Linked DNA regions of Anolis sagrei. The protein of the gene in region 1 interacts with the protein of each later gene in a pairwise test. Links are inferred from orthologs where the notes say so. Each region holds a gene or a part of one and is shown in the gene's direction. Other genes may lie near its edges.

Evidence for each region.
Region 2: the proteins of ZFYVE19 (region 1) and VPS4B interact in binary tests that used the Homo sapiens proteins (3 or more experiments, as listed by UniProt). The two-hybrid records come from large-scale screens. The link is inferred for Anolis sagrei from reciprocal best matches to the Homo sapiens genes ZFYVE19 and VPS4B.

The regions. Positions count from the first base shown.
Region 1 is NC_090021.1:289,480,520-289,488,471, reverse strand, and holds the start of ZFYVE19 (abscission/NoCut checkpoint regulator), read left to right. Parts: upstream 1-4,404; 5' UTR 4,405-4,518; intron 4,519-7,952. Other genes in the region: DNAJC17 (dnaJ homolog subfamily C member 17), read right to left, coding at 4,095-4,172. UniProt on the Homo sapiens protein: Key regulator of abscission step in cytokinesis: part of the cytokinesis checkpoint, a process required to delay abscission to prevent both premature resolution of intercellular chromosome bridges and accumulation of DNA damage.
Region 2 is NC_090024.1:89,438,453-89,447,147, forward strand, and holds the start of VPS4B (vacuolar protein sorting-associated protein 4B), read left to right. Parts: upstream 1-5,315; 5' UTR 5,316-5,584; coding exon 5,585-5,608; intron 5,609-8,695.

The DNA.
Region 1 (7,952 bases):
CCTTTAACCAGGAAAATCTTGGAAGATCCAGGGTGGGAGAAAGAACTCTTGTCTGTTGGAGGTAGGTATGAATGTTTCAATTGGCCATCTTGATTGCCATTTCATAGCCTGACAGTTTTTAGGGGGAATCCTTTGTTGAGAGGTGATTAGCTGGCCCTGATTGTTTCTTGTCTGGAGTTCCCCTGTGTTTGAGTGTTGTTCTTTATTTACAGTTATAATTTTAGATTTTGTTCAGACTAGAAATAGGAAGATTTCCCATTCTCTGCTCCTGGAATTACTGCCTAAAGAGGTCTAGAAAGAACCCCCTCTAAGAGTCCTTCCACACAGCAAAATAAGATATGTGCAATGTGCATAGGAATTTTTTAATTGATTTAAAAAAAAAACTATAGTCCGGCCCTCCATCAGTCTGAGGGACAGTAAACTGGCCCCCGGTTTAAAAAGTTTGAGGACCCCTGTTTTAGGAAAACGTTGAGAAACCACAAGTTCCTCACCACTGGCAGAGAGTGTGATGGGACACTGAAAGAATGTTGAGGAATAGCTTTTTTACATAGAAATAATTTATTGTATTACAGTTAGGAAATAACTTTTATGCTACCATGAGATACCTTGCATAAACTCTTATCATTCTATGGGCTTTCCCAGGCAAGCCCTACAGCCCAGGATCTGACCCCAGGTGTTCTGCTTTATTTGTTTATTTTATTTTATTTATTTAGACTATTTTTATCCTGCCTTTCCCTACTCAAGGGCCCAGGGTGGCTAATAGCATTTATAAAATACACACAATACAAATATTAAAACAAAACATAATACACAATAAAACTAAATATTTTACAGTGCTGAAAAACATTAAAGCCTGTGTATTAACATAAAACTAAAAATCCTAAAGCAAGGGTTCCTAAAAGTCACCTGAGTGCTATCATCTACTTATGTCAATAAATCCAATCACCTGAAAGCTTTCTTAAAAAGAATGCTTTGAGACTTTTTCTGAACCCAAGCAGTGTATGGGTAGATCTAATCTCCAATGGAAGGGCTTTTCACATTTGTAGCCCAGCCCCGGAGAAGGAGCCTTCCCGGTTGTTGTAGACACCAGGATCTCCTCACTGGATGTAAGCAATCTCCCAGGGATGTAGTGAGGATCACGCTATCTCATGTAGTCAGGACCTGTAGAGCTTTAAAGGTCAAAACCAGCACCTTGAATTGAACCTGGAAACTAATGGATAGCCAGTGAAGCTGTTTAAGCAGTGGAGTAGTGTGATCTCTTACCTCCTCTCCTGTTAACAGTCTGGCTGTCATTGTCTGAAAGAATTGTAGTTTCTGAACTGTCTTCAAGGGCAGCCCCACATAGAGTGTGTTACAGTATTCCAATCAAGATGTCACCAAAGTGTGTACTACAGTGCCCAGGCCTGATTTCTCCAGGAACGAGTGCATTTGGCACACAAGTTTTAAATGTGCAAAGGCTATCTTAGTTATCTCTGCCACCTAGGCTTCTAAATTTAAGGTGTCCAGAATCACACCCATACTATAGACCTAGGTTTTTGGCTTTAAACTGGATTATATGAGTCTGCATCTGGGATAAACAGAAAACTTGGGATCAGATCCTGGGATATAGGGCCTGTCTGGAAGGGCCGTGTGTCTCTATAAATCTGAGGGATGCATTGACAGTGTAGAATCAATGCAGTTTGCCACCACTTTAACTGCCATGGATCAATACCATGGGATTATGAAAATTGTAGTTTGGTGAGGCGTGACAACTCTTTGGCAGCAAAGTCCACTAACCTATATATCCCATAATTCCATAGCACTGAGCCTTGGCAATTAAAGTGCTGTCAAACTGGATTAATTTTGCCACCTAGAACAGTGGTTCTCAACCTTCCTAATGCCACAACCCCTTAATACAGTTCCTCTTGTTGTGGTGACCCCCAACGACAACAAGAGGAACTGTATTCTTATTATTCTTAACTTGCTTTCCATATTAAAATAAAATAAAATGTAACTTGAACTGACATGGGAAAGAACGGAGTCCCTTTTCTGACTAAAGTTCACCACACTAGAAGCCACCATGCCACTTTTAGTATGCAATGCTTCTTGGCATGGAGTTGGACTGGATGGCCTACGAGGTTTCTTCCAACTCTATGATTCTAAGCGATCTTGTACCAGTTTAGAAACTAAAAGGACAAAGTGTTGCCAAAGGCTAAAACGACAACAAATATTTCAGAAGTAAATTCTATTATAAATTAATGGGTTTTAATCCCAAGTAATATGCATATGAATGCAGAATTGTCACAACTAACTGGTCAGTTTCCCAGAGCAGTTTCCCATTCATTGGTTACCTCCCAAAGCAAGTTGTTGAAATGTATTTCATGCAGGGCAGCTTTCAAGAATAATCTCTAGAATAGTGGTTCTCAACCTTCCTAATGCCGCGACCCCTTAATACCCTCATGTTGTGGTGACCCCCAACCTTAAAATTATTTTCATCGCTACTTCATAACTGTGATTTTGCTACTTTTATGAATCATAATATAAATATCTGATATGCAGGATGTATTTTCATTCACTGGACCAAATTTGGCACAAATAACCAATACGCCCGAATTTGAATACTGGTGGGGTTGGACGGATTGATTTTTGTCATTTGAGAGTTGTAGTTGCTGGAATTTATAGTTCACCTACAATCAAAGAGCATTCAGAACCCCATCAATGAGAGAATTGGGCCAAACTTCCCACACAGAACCCCCATGACCAATAGAAAATACTGGGTTTGGTGGGCACTGACCTTGAGTTTTGGAGTTGTAGTTCATAGAATCATAGAGTTGGAAGAGACCTCATAGGCCATCCAGTCCAACCCCCTGCCAAGAAATCACATTCAAAGCACCCCCGACAGATGGCCATCCAGCCTCTGTTTAAAAGCTTCCAAAGAAGGAGCCTCCACCACACTCCGGGGCAGAGATTTCCACTGCTGAACAGCTCTCACAGTCAGGAAGTTCTTCCTCATGTTCAGATGGCATCTCCTTTCTTGTAGTTTGAAGCCATTGTTCCGCGTCCTAGTCTCCAGGGAAGCAGAAAACAAGCTTGCTCCCTCCTCCCTGTGGCTTCCTCTCACGTATTTATACATGGCTATCATGTCTCCTCCTGGCCTTCTCTTTTTCAGGCTAAACATGCCCAGCTCCTTAAGCCGCTCCTCATAGGGCTTGTTCTCCAGACCCTTGATCATTTTAGTCGCCCTCCTCTGGACACATTCTAGCTTGTCAATATCTCTCTTGAATTGTGGTGCCCAGAATTGGACACAATATTCCAGGTGTGGTCTAACCAAGGCAGAATATAGGAGTAGCAAGACTTCCCTGGATCTAGACATTATACTCCACTATACTCATAGAATCATAGAATCAAAGAGTTGGAAGAGACCTCATGGGCCATCCAGTCCAACCCCCTGCCAAGAAGCAGGAATATTGCATTCAAATCACCCCTGACAGATGGCCATCCAGCCTCTGTTTAAAAGCTTCCAAAGAAGGAGCCTCCACCACACTCCAGGGCAGAGAGTTCCACTACTGAACAGCTCTCACCGTCAGGAAGTTCTTCCTCATGTTTAGATGGACTCATCTACACCCAGAGAGCACTGTGGACTCAATCAATGAAGAATCTGGACCAAACTTGGCACGGATATTCAATATGCCCCAATATGAACACTGGTGGAGTTTGGGGGAAATGGTCCTTGACATTTGGGAGTTGTAGTTGCTGGGATTTACAGTTCACCTGCAATCAAAGAGCATTCTGAATCCTATAACAATATAATTGGGCCAAACTTCCCTTGCAGAACCCGTATGACCAACAAAAACATACTGTGTTTTCTGATGGTCTTTGGCGACCCCCCCCCCCCCCCAGGTTGAGAAACACTGGCCTAGAAGCTCCCCAGGTGTATACAGCAAATGTAAGACGAAGGGCGGGCAACTGCTGGCACTCCAGATGTTGTTGGGAATCCAATAACTGCCACACTCGAGATGGGCCTTGCCTGAAACTGAGGCCAAGGGGAAAAGCAGGCCTGGACCCCAAGCGCGCCCCTCAGCCCTCCGGGGAAGGGCCTTTCCCGCCCGGCTGACCTCTTTATCCGCCGCCTTCTCGCCGACGCCCAGCAGAGCGTACAGGTCCAGCTCCAGCAGCTCCTTATCCACCGCCATGCCTTCTCCCTCTAGTACTTCTCCGTCCAAACGGCAACAGTTGACTCTCCTCTTCCCTCCTCCTCTCTCAAACACTCCGGAGCTCGCGACGGCCCCTTTGCGCCTGGGAAACGTAGTCTTTTCCCGACCCTTCGCTATAGAAGGGCGATTGGAATCAAGACTACAATTCCCGTCATGCTTTTCTTCCTGCCCTCGCGGCCCTCCTCCGCCCGCCGTCAAGGGCCTCACGTGACGCTTCGGAAGCGAAGCCTCGGGAGCTCCCGGCGGCCACCGCGCGGGGGTTTCTGGGAAGTGTAGTTCCTCCGACGCCTGTTCCTTCGCGGGGGAGACCACAGGAGGGATGTGAGTGAGTATTGCTCTTACCTGGAGTGGCGGGTTTCACTGAGAGATGCCGAGGGAGGGCAGAAAAGGCACCCAAGTCTAAATTAGGAGAGGCTGCTGCCTTCTGTATCAAGTGGGGAGGACCTGAGTCCCTTTAACCTTAGTGAAACATCATTTCCATCTCCATAACGGTGGGTTTGTATGGAGTCTGGCCTTGGTTTTCCAAGGAGGGCCTCTGCTTCATGCCACTGAAGGAAAACTACAGCAGTTCTATTTTAATGTTTCTATGTTCCGGGTTTTACATTGTAATTTGTACTGCTTTTGGTGTTGGGGGCCTCTTTGAGCCCCCTTTAATAGAAGGAAGTGGGGCATTAATAATAATAATAATAATATGAACCCTTCAATTCTGCCTTCATTTCCAGGGCTGAAAGAGCTGACTCATCTGGCCCACTCCCCCAGTTCAGTAGAGTCTTATTTGAAATGCTTTGGACCATAATATTAATGTTTATTTATTATTGATAATTGATAATATTTCTTTATAATGCTTTGGGTTTTGGATTTTTATTGCATTTTGGAGTAATTACATTTATTATTTATTTGCTATATTTCTATACTGCCATTCTCAGCCCAAGGGCGACTCGTGGCCCACAGCAATACAGAGATAATTAAACATTAAAATCATATAACATAGATAAAACTTCATTACAAATATCATTAATAAAACATAATAAAAACCATAAGTCCTCATTTCATTACCAATCATTATCCAACTGTTCCAAGATCAGAGTTTAACAGCTACACTGTGTTTGGAAAAGCCTGCTCATATAGCCAGGTTTTGACTTTTTTTGCGGAACGTTAAGAGGGTGGGGGCCAGTCTAATGTCCCTGGGGAGGGCATTCCACAACTGAGGGGCCACCGCTGAGAAGGCCCTGTCTCTCGTCCCCGCCAGTCAAGCCTGTGAAGATGGCAGGACCGAGAGCAGGGCCTCTGCAGAAGATCTTAAATTCCTAGAGGGTTCGTAAGGAGAGATACGTTCGGACAGGTAAGCAGGGCCAGAACTGTGCTTACCAATACATAAATATTGTGATTTTTTTTAAAAAAAATGAGACCAGAGTATAAACATGAAATTCATTTATACACATAGCCTGAAGTTAACTTTACACACCATATTTGGAATCATTTTTGTGCATGAAGCAAATGGCACACTTATACTGACCCACTTAATGCAGTCTGAATACAGCTTGACAGAGTGATGTTTACATGACATATTCTTCACAATTAAGAGAAGGGAGAAGCAAAGAAGTCAGGGAATGCTCTAAAAGAGAGCCCTTAATGCACACCAACATGCCTCAGTGTTAATATATCATGTTTATTAATTTATGTTTATTATTTACTTTGGATTGTTGTAGGTTTTTCAGGCTATATGGCCGTGTTCTAGAAACATTATCTTCTGACATTTTGCCTGCGTCCCTGGCATCTTCAGAGGTTGTGAGGATGTTTGCCATAGATGCTGGTGAAATGTCAGGAGAGAATGCTTCTAGAATATGGCCATATAGCCTGAAAAACTTACAACAACCCAGTGATTCCAGCCATGAAAACCTTCGACAATTATTTACTTTGTTTATTATTTATTATTTTATTCAGTTCTTGTGGGTTTTTTCGGGCTATATGGCCATGTTCTAGAGGCATTTCTCCTGACGTTTTGCCTGCATCTATGTCAAGCATCCTCAGAGGACCTCACCTCTGAGGATGCTTGCAATAGATGCAGGTGAAACGTCAGGAGAAATGCCTCTAGAACATGGCCATATAGCCCAAAAAACCCCACAAGAACTGAGTGATTCCAGCCATGAAAGCCTTTGACAATATTATTTTATTATTATTTGTTTATTACTTACTTTCTCACCTTGGGGACTTATGGCATCTAACAACCACACAATCTGGTCACAATTTAAAACAAAGCAAAAACAAACAAAGAATTAAATAATACTGCATGGATTTATGTTTTAAAATGCAGTTAAAATATAATAAATACAATTAAAATTATATCTAAAATTCACAATCCCCCCACAATCCCACCCACAACCTCCTCAGCAGCATGCCCCCCATCCTCTCCCAAAGGCCTACTGGCACAGAAAGGTCTTGACCTACTTGCGAAAGGTAAGCAGGAAAGGGCCATTCTGGTCTCTCTTGAGAGGGAGTCCCACATTTTGGGATCAGCCACCAAAAAGGCCCTCATTTCACATGGCGAGACCGATCAGGGACAAGTGCTCCAGTGAGGTATGTGTGGGGACCCCCCCCCATTCTACCATAGCCATGGAGCCATGGATATTGTGGATACTTGAAGCTGTTCAAGGCAGCGTCTTCTATGCATACAAGTCCCATATAGGCCTCAAACTCATTCCAAGACTATGTCTAACCATGTGGATTCTTGTGGGCACCCATGAGTCTCCGCAGTCCTCTGATTGCTTTGCTGACTAAAATCTTCAAAGGCAGTCTGATTCAGGGACCAAAGGATCCCACTTAGAATCATAGAGTTGTGGGCCATCCAGTCCAACCCCCTGCTAAGAAGCAGAAAAGTCGATTTCAAAGCACCACTGACAGATGGCCATCCAGCCTCTGCTTAAAAGCCTCCAAAGAAGGAGCCTGCACCACCTCTGGGGTAGAGAGTTCCACTGCTAAACAACTCTCACAGTTAAGAAGTTCTTCCTAATGTTCAGGTGGAATCTCCTTTCTTGTAGTTGGAAGCCATTGTTCCATGTCCTAGTGTCCAGGGCAGCAGAAAGCAAGCTTGCTCCCTCCTCCCTATGAATTCCCCTGCTCTGGAATTGATAGACCCCTCACCTGAAATGATATATTTCTCTCATTGCTCCCTGTGAAATCACTGCCTTTTCTCATGTTATCACACAGCTAAGTGGTCAGAGTAGATGGAATCAAAGTTTGTGTATACTGGACCATAGCAAGGCAAAGGTGTCACCTATGTGGGCAATTTTAAATACTAGAACAATTAAGATTTTGGAATTCTGGATAAAGAATACCTGTATCATCATCACCATTTCCATCCCTCCTGCTTTTAGTTTTGCTTAAAAGAGGAAAAAGAAGGGATAACCATGCAGAGAGGGGAGGTTATAGTGGAACAGAATCCACAGAGAAATATCTGTGTCCAGTATGTATGCCTTCAGAAAGAAAAATAAGTTCAATATTTCAACTGGTGGTTACAAATCCAGGTGCATTTTGTTTTAAAAGTAAGAAATAAATAAACTTTTTGGACAACTAAAATAATAAAGAGTTTTGGGAATCATACGTTCAGATCTCTACTGTACGATACTCGGAAGACATACGGTATCTGTACTGTGCACTTATAGCAGTCTTAAGCCACTTTTAACGTGATGATTCTATCCTATGGATGATTCTATCCTATGGATTCTATCCTTTGGAGTTTTGGAAGGGACTTATAAGTCT
Region 2 (8,695 bases), on another chromosome or scaffold:
AATAATAATAATAATAATAATAATAATAATAATAATAAATGTGGCATCCAGTGGCCTTCCATTTCCAAAGGAAACAGAAGGCCAGGAAACATCCCAACTTAAAATCCAATAGTTCAGTCCCATCTTAAAATACAACAGTTCCCATCCCATCTTAAAATACCCAGTTTAGCCGATTCTGTGTGAAGGGAGAGCAGTGGAATCGATTTGTGTCTAACTTCACAAGTCTCCCATTTCTTTACAGTTTAAAAACAAAATCCACTGAAAGCAGTCCTGTGTCACTTCATGGGCTCTGTGGGACTCTTTCTTTAAAAGAAAGAGAAACAATAAGGTGACGCCTACCCCCTCTTGTGGGATGAGGTTATAGTTTGTAATACACACACACACACACACATATATATCTTTATTTTTGTATCTCACCTCCATCTCTCCAAAGGGACTAGGGGTGGCTTACATGGGCTGGTGCAAATCAGTTGTGAGGACAGGGCTGATGGATAAAGTGCAAATTCCAGATGACAAAATTAGGGATAGTAGATCTCTATATCTCTGGGTAGGGAACGACAGGAAAGTGCAAGGGCTAGATTTTGAGTCATAGCTGGAGCCAACATTTTCTGGGAACCATCTAATCAAAAGCATAATGGAACATCCATGTTTTTAGATCTTTGCAAAAGATGGACTAGGTGGGTACCAGACCGTGATGGATCCAGAAAATCGGTACGCCAACTTGAGCTAAGAGGAGAGGTGGGTAACAAATAAAAAATAAACTTATGACATTGTTAATTTAGTAATTCACCTGGTGGAGAAAAGGCCAAACACAGCAACTAATCCAAATAGGCCATCTAGATTTCATGATGAATGTGCTTTGTCAGCAACATTGCACACATTTTTAATAACTGCACTGACTTGCATGATGTTTTTTGGACACAATTCAAATAGTTAAGTGTAGAGCTATGGATGCTTGAATCAGTTCAGATTTTTGCAGTTTATGCATCACACAGCATGACCCACCTTAAAGGATTATGAAAGTGGCAGTTGAATATATTGGTTTGGGTGTCTGTCAAAGGTTCTCTGCTCCTGCTCTGCAATTTGGTAGCACATCTGAACAGCTAACTCTTTTTAATTTGTAATGAAATTGCCTGCAATAAAAAACCCCTTATGCCAAATTAAACTACTCTTGAATATGCAGCAAAAACTTTGGCAGTTTATAATCATGGGCTATGTAGTCTTGTAAGGCATTTGCTCTTTTCTGCCAAAGAGTGCTGGTGTCTCACCAAGCTAGTTAGTCCAGGATTCCAGGATTCCATGTTACTGAGTCACTGTACCTAAAGTGTTGTCAAACTGCACTAATTGCACAGTGTAGATGCACCCTTTGCTAATGGAGTGCAATATTCTTTTGTATTTTGATTCAGTAAACTGTAAACAGTAAACTGCCAACCTAGCAGTTCGAAAACATGCAAATGTGAGTAGATCAATAGGTACCACTCCAGTGGGAAGGTAACAGTGCTCCATGCAGTCATGCTGGCCACATGACCTTAGAGGTGTCTATGGACAACACCGGCTCTTCGGCTTAGAAATGGAGATGAGCACCACACCCCAGAGTCAGACATGACTGGACTTAATGTCAGGGGCCAATCTTTACCTTTTTAAACATAGGGTAAGAAAATGGAATTTGAATTGTGTCCAAAAAAAATCCTGCAGCTATAGTTTTTCAATAAATATCTCATATAATCTAAACCAATTCAACATAGTTTGTGGCAGCCACAAAAAAAAATGAAGTTTCTGGGGTATAACTACTTTCAAAGTTAAGTATTGCACAATTAAATAGGAAACAACACTTTCAAAGAAGAATAACGATACGTTGTATGTTCCAGAGCAGGCAAACCAGACAATCTCCACATCAACACTGGCAAAGAAACAGCAAGAAAATCTGTTTACCCACAAGCATAAACACATGACATTTATTAGAAACACTTTCTCATTAGATCACCAGACTGGACCAACAGAAAACACTAGCAGCGTTTGGTGGGCATTGACCTTGTGTTTGGGAGTTGTAGTTCACCTACATCCAGAGAGCACTGTGGACTCAAGCAATGATGGATCTGGACCAAACTTGGCACAAATATTCCATATGCCCAAATATGAACACAGATAGAGTTTGGGAGAAATAGATCTTGGCATTTGGGAGTTGTAGTTACTGGGATTTATAGTTCACCTACAATCAAAGACCATTCTGAATGAACCCCACGAATGACAGAACTGGGGCAGACTTCCCACACAGAATCCTCATGACCAACAGAAAATACTTAAGGCTATCCAGTCCAACTCCCTTCACCAGGGCAAAAAAAGTAATCAAAGCCCTCCTGACAGAGAGCCATCCCGCGGGGACGAGAGATAGGGCCTTCTCGGTGGTGGCGCCTCGGCTGTGGAACACCCTTCCTGTGGACATCAGGCTAGCTCCCTCCCTGTTGATATTCCGCAGGAAATTAAAGACCTGGCTGTTTAAGAAGGCATTTGAACAAGAAGTGCAATGATTGATAATTTGACCATAGGAATGGAACAACGAAAATATTATCAGATTGTGGGTTTGACGATGAGACGACATGGAATGGCTTTTGTAGTAATGTTGATGTTTTTGATTAGGATGTTTTTGATAATGATGAATTATGGATTATTTTTACACTATGTCTTGTATTTTGCACCTGTTTTTCTATGTTGTACACCGCAATGAGTCGCCCCTGGGCTGAGAATTGCGGTATATAAGCGCAGTAAATAAATAAATATTTATTTATTTATTTATTAACTTTATTTGTACCCCGCTACCGTCTCCCCAAGGGACTCGGTGCGGCTTACATGAGGCCGAGCCCAAACACAACAACAAAAGCAATAAAACATCAATACAAGCAATTAAAAAACATAGACAAAAGTACACAACATTATCAAAAAAGCAACACATAATTAAAAACAGTGGGAAGGCCCAATGTAGAGTTAAAATTGGGCCATGAAACGAAAGGTGATACTGGTGTTTGTGGAGGGCATACAAGCAGACTCAGGGAAATGTAAAGTGCTTTGAAGGACAGAGTGCTATGGGATCATCATTCCGGGAAGGCACACTGGAACAGTCACGTCTTCAAGCTCCTCCTGAAGACTGCCAGAGTTGGAGCCTGTCTGATATCTTTAGGGAGTGAGTTCCAGAGTCGAGGGGCCACCACTGAAAAGGCCCTCTCCCTCATCCCCACCAAACGCACCTGCGATGCTGGTGGGATCGAGAGCAGGGCCTCTCCAGAAGATTGAAGGGATCGTGTGGGTTCGTATACAGAGATGCGATCACGTAGGTAGGCAGGTCTCAAACCGTTCAGGGCTTTGTAGGTAAGAACTTGAACCTTGAATTGGGTCTGGTAGATGAATGGCAGCCAGTGGAGCTCCTTGAACAGGCGGAGCCCCAGTTAACAACCTGGCTGTTGCCCGTTGGATCATCTGAAATTTCCGGGCTGTTTTCAAGGGCAGCCCCACGTAGAGTGCATTGCAGTAATCCAGTCTAGAGGTGACTAAGGCATGGACCACCTTGGCCAGATCCGCCTTCCCGAGGTATGGTCGCAGTTGACGCACAAGTTTTAGTTGTGCAAAGGCCCTCCCGGCCACCACTGACGCCTGAGCCTCATATATAGATATATATGATTCACACACACACAGATAAAGTATTATAGATTTGAAAGAGACCCCTTTAAAAGGACAATTGTATGTTGCATGTTCCAGAGTAGGAAAACCAGACAATCTCCACATCAACACTGACAAAGAAATAGCAAGAAATACTAGGTTCTTGTGGGTTTTTTCGGGCTATAGGGCCATGTTCTAGAGGCATTTCTCCTGACGTTTTGCCTGCACCTATGGGTCACACCGTCTACAGAAAACCCAAACACACAGATAGATATCTACATAAAAACTCCAGCCATCACCCAAGTCAAAAAAGAAGCACCATTAAAGACTTGGCAGACTTGGCAGACTTGGTGAAAAAAGAATATGCGAACCCCACCTCCTCCAAGATGAACTGAACCACCTAAGCTGGGCTTACAGGCCAACGGATACTCCACCTAAGATATCAGAAGAGCTGCAAGACCGAGAACAAGCCACGAGAATAAAGACGAAGATCCACCCAGAGGAAAAGTGTTCCTGTCATACATCAAGAGAACCACTGACCGCATAGGGAAGCTGATGAGGAAACACAACATACAAACAATCTACAAACCCATCAAGAAAATCCAACAAATGCTACGTTCAGCAAAGGACAAGAAGGATCCTCTCACCTCTGCAGGAGTCTACTGTATACCATGCAGCTGTGGACAAGTCTACATAGGGACCACCAAACGCAGCACCCAGACACGCATCAAGGAACATGAAAGGCACTGCAGACTACTTCAACCAGAGAAGTCAGCCATAGCAGAGCACCTGATGAACCAGCCTGGACACAGCATATTATTTGAGAACACAGAAATGCTGGACCACTCCAACAACCACCATGTCAGACTACACAGAGAAGCCATTGAAATCCACAAGCATGTGGACAATTTCAACAGAAAGGAGGAGACCGTGAAAATGAACAAAATCTGGCTACCAGTATTAAAAAAACTCTAAAATTACAACAGCAAAACAGCAGAGAGGAAACAACCAGGCACATCTTAACACCTCTCAACAAAAGATTTTCCCAGGCTCAGCCAGGCCTTCAAATGCTAATGAAGGTGGTCAGTTGAAACATTCACACCTAGCTCCAGCAGAGAAGAGCTCTTTGCCCCACCCCAGCCATTCCACAGATATATAAACCCATTGTCCTAATTCCAACAGACCTCACTACCTCTGAGGATGCTTGCCATAGATGCAGGCGAAACGTCAGAAGAAATGCCTCTAGAACATGGCCCTATAGCCCGGAAAAACCCACAAGAACCTAGTGATTCCAGCCATGAAAGCCTTCGACAATAGCAAGAAATACTGTTTACCCACAAGCATAAAGACATCAATTAGAAATCAGCACTTTCTAATTACTTTATTTTCCATATCACCAGACTGGGCCACAGCAACGCGTGGCAGGGGACCGCTAGTGGTAATAAGATAATTAAGGCGGAGGAGAGGATGTCAATATGGGCTCAGCTACACCTGCGTCCCTTCCGGTCACGCGCAGGCAAAACGTCACGGCTCCCAAAAAAAAACAGCTGAACAGGATGGAGCAAACCGGGAAGCCCTTTGCGCATGCGCTGTTGCGGCCTCGCGGCTCCTTCTCACCTGCGCATGCGTCACCGCCCTCTCACTTCCTTCCCAGTCTCCCTCCGCTTCTTCCTCCTTCCCAACTCCAGGGCCGGGTGCGGCCGTGACGTCACGGGAGCTGAGCGGAAGCGGAAGAGCAGCGTGGTTTCCCTTTTCGCCCGGCGGTGGGACTGGGTCGCGGAAGTAGCCGAGGACTCGGGATTTTTTTAGTGTTTCTTCTTGCCTTTCTCAGCGGAGGGCCTGAATATATATACATATTTCTTTGGAGCGGACTCTTAGGAGGCTTCCTTTCCTCTTCGGCTCTTCGCCGCCCTCCCTGACAGCTCCGCCCATCATGGCGGCCACGTCCAACTTGCAGGTGAGCATTTCCCCGTCGAAACCCAGGTCGCGCCTGGGAGAGGCCTGGTCACGGTGTGGCTGCGAGTTGGAGCAGAGGAGAGGCCTAGCTTGAGGGCAAGCCCAGCTCGAAGCTTATTTCATCCTGAACTTAAGCCCCTTCCACACAGCTGAATAAAACCCCTGCTTTGAACTGGGATATATGGCAGTGTGGACTCAGACAACCCACTTCAAAGCAGATATTGTGGGACTTTCTGCCTTGATATTCTGAGTAATATGGCTGTGTGCCTTGATTATCAAACTCCTGCCGCCTTATGTAATCACAAAGATGCCGCTAACTAGGCAATCCTCCTCCAAACGGGTCAGACTACATCTCTCACCCCATTAACCGGTTGTTCCCAAACTCTGCCCCTGTAAATGTTTTGAACTTCAACTCCCAGAATCCCTGACCTTTGGCCAAAGTGACCGAGGGCCCTTCCAGACAGGCCTTTTATCCCAGGATATTTATTGATCGTGTCAGGAGCGAACCAAACAGTTGTATTGCATTAAAAACAAGCAAACAAAACACAAAATTTGTACCTCACTACCTCTGAGGATGCTTGCCAAAGTGCAGGCGAAACATCAGGAGAGAATGCCTCTAGACCATGGCCATACAGCCCGAAAAAACCTACAACAACCCAGTGATTCCAGCCATGAAAGCCTTCGACAATACAACTTGGTAGTTGATTAAATGTCCTTTGACCAGTAGCTGGCCACTTGGAGTGCCTCTGGTTTTGCTATAAGAAGGTCTTCCATTGTGCATGTAGCAGGGCTCAGGTTGCATTGTAGTAAATGGTCTGTGGTTTGCTCTTCTTCACACTCGCATGTCGTGGATTCCACTTTGTAGCCCCATTTTTTAAGGTTGGCTCTTTTAAGCACGGTCTTTTAAGCACCTTCCAAGTCGCCCAGTTTTCTGTGTGCTCAGGACGGAGTCTCTCATTTGGTATCAGCCATTGATTGAGGTACTGGGTTTTAGCCTGCCACTTTTGGACTCTTGCTTGCTGAGGTGTTCCAGCAAGTGTCTCTGTAGATCTTAGAAAACTATTTCTTGATTTAAGTCATTGCCGTGCTAGCTGATACCCAAACGGGGATAGGGGGTGGGCCGGAGGTGTCACTGACTTGGTCCTTTTACTATTGGCTGCTACTTCCCAGCAGATGTCAGTTGGTGCAATACCGGCTAAACAGTGTAATTTCTCCAGTGGTGTAGGGCGCAGACACGCCATGATAATGCAGCATGATCATAGGTTTTCTGTTGATCCCAGATTATCTGGTAGTGCGGACTCATATCATCCAGTTTAAAGCAGAAAATCTGGGATCAGCTCCAGGATTAAAGGGCCCTGAGGCTGCCCAGAGTTGAAGTGCAAAAGTGGAGGGCCAACGTTAGGGAGTCAGTGTCTAAGGGCCCTTCTACATTGCCATATCATCATCATCAAACTTTATTTGTATCCCGTCCCATCTTCCCATGCAGACTCAGGATGTCTCGCAACATGGATAGCAACCATTTGATGCCACACGATACATAATAAATCAAAAATATAATAATAATGATATGGCTGCTGTGAGTTTTCCGGGATGTAAGGCCATGTTGCAGAAGCATTCCCTCCTGACGTTTCACCCACATCTATAACCGGCATCCTCAGAGGTGCAGGGGTCTGTTGGAAACTTAGCAAGTGGGGTTTATATATCTGTGGAATGTCCAGAGTGAGAGAAAGAAACTCTTGTCTGTTGGAGGCAGGTGTGGTTGTTGCAGTTGGCCACCTTGATTAGCATGAAATGTAAATAAAGAGCAACACTAAAAAAGGGAATTCCAGACAGGAAACAATCAGGGCCAGCTAACACCTCCCAACAAAGGATTCCAGCAGGCAGGAAACAACCAGGCTTTAAAGCTGCAAGGTTTTTCAATGCCAATCAAGCTGTCCATTGCAACATTCACACTTGCCTTAAACAGACAAGAATTCTTTCTCCCACCCTGGACATGCCAGGTTTCCAACATACCTTACAACCTCTGAGGATGCCTGCCATAGATATGAGTGAAACATCAGGAGAGAATGCTTCTGGAACATGACCATACAGCCTGAAAAATTGACAGCAACCCATCATCAAACTTTATTTGCATTCCATCCCATCTCCTCATGGGGGCTCACAACATGATGGCAACCATTAAATTCCACACAATACATAATAAATAAAAATGCAATAATAATAAGAATAGGAATACTTTATTTATAATCCACCCTATCTCCCCAAGGGGACTCGGGGCGGCTTCCGACATGATAACAGGTCCCAATGCCTATATAAACAAAAGTAAAAATTAAACAAAATACAATACAATACACAGTGGATTAAAATAAACTAACAAATAATATAAACAATCATAACTCAACATAGAAGACAAATCACAACAACACAAATCACAGACACAATAAATAGCAAGGTTTAAAGCCAGAATGGTAGATTTAATAAACCATATCCATTGTTAAAAGTCCTATCCCTAGGCCATTCCTTGCCAGATATTAAACATTGGATTCTTCATTAGCCTGGGAACATAGATTAGGTTTTAGTTGCTTTCTGAAAGAGAGGATTGTGGGGGCCATTCTAATCTCCTTCAGGAGAAAGTTCCAGAGAATATCAAGGCAGAAAATCCCACAATATCTTATACGAACTAGGTTATTTGAGTCCACACTCAGATAATGTAGGGTTTTCTGCCTTGATATTCTGAGATAAAGGGCTGTGTGGAAGGGCCCAGAGTCCACACTGCCATATAATCCAGGACATAGAAAATAATCTGGATTTTATGCAGCTTTGTAGAAGGGGCCTAAGAATACAACTACAGACTAGAATTAATGCCATGACACTGTTTTCACTGCCATGGCTCAGTGCTGTGGAATCGTGAGAGTTCTCATTTCACAAGGCTGTTAGCCCTCTCTACCAAAGAGTTCTGGTACCTCGTGAAACTACAGCTCCCAGGGTTCTTTAAGCATTGAGATGAGGCAGTTAAACATCATTGATCTTAGGTCCCTTCTACACTGCTATATAAAACTCAGAAACATTCACACCTAGCTCCAGCAGA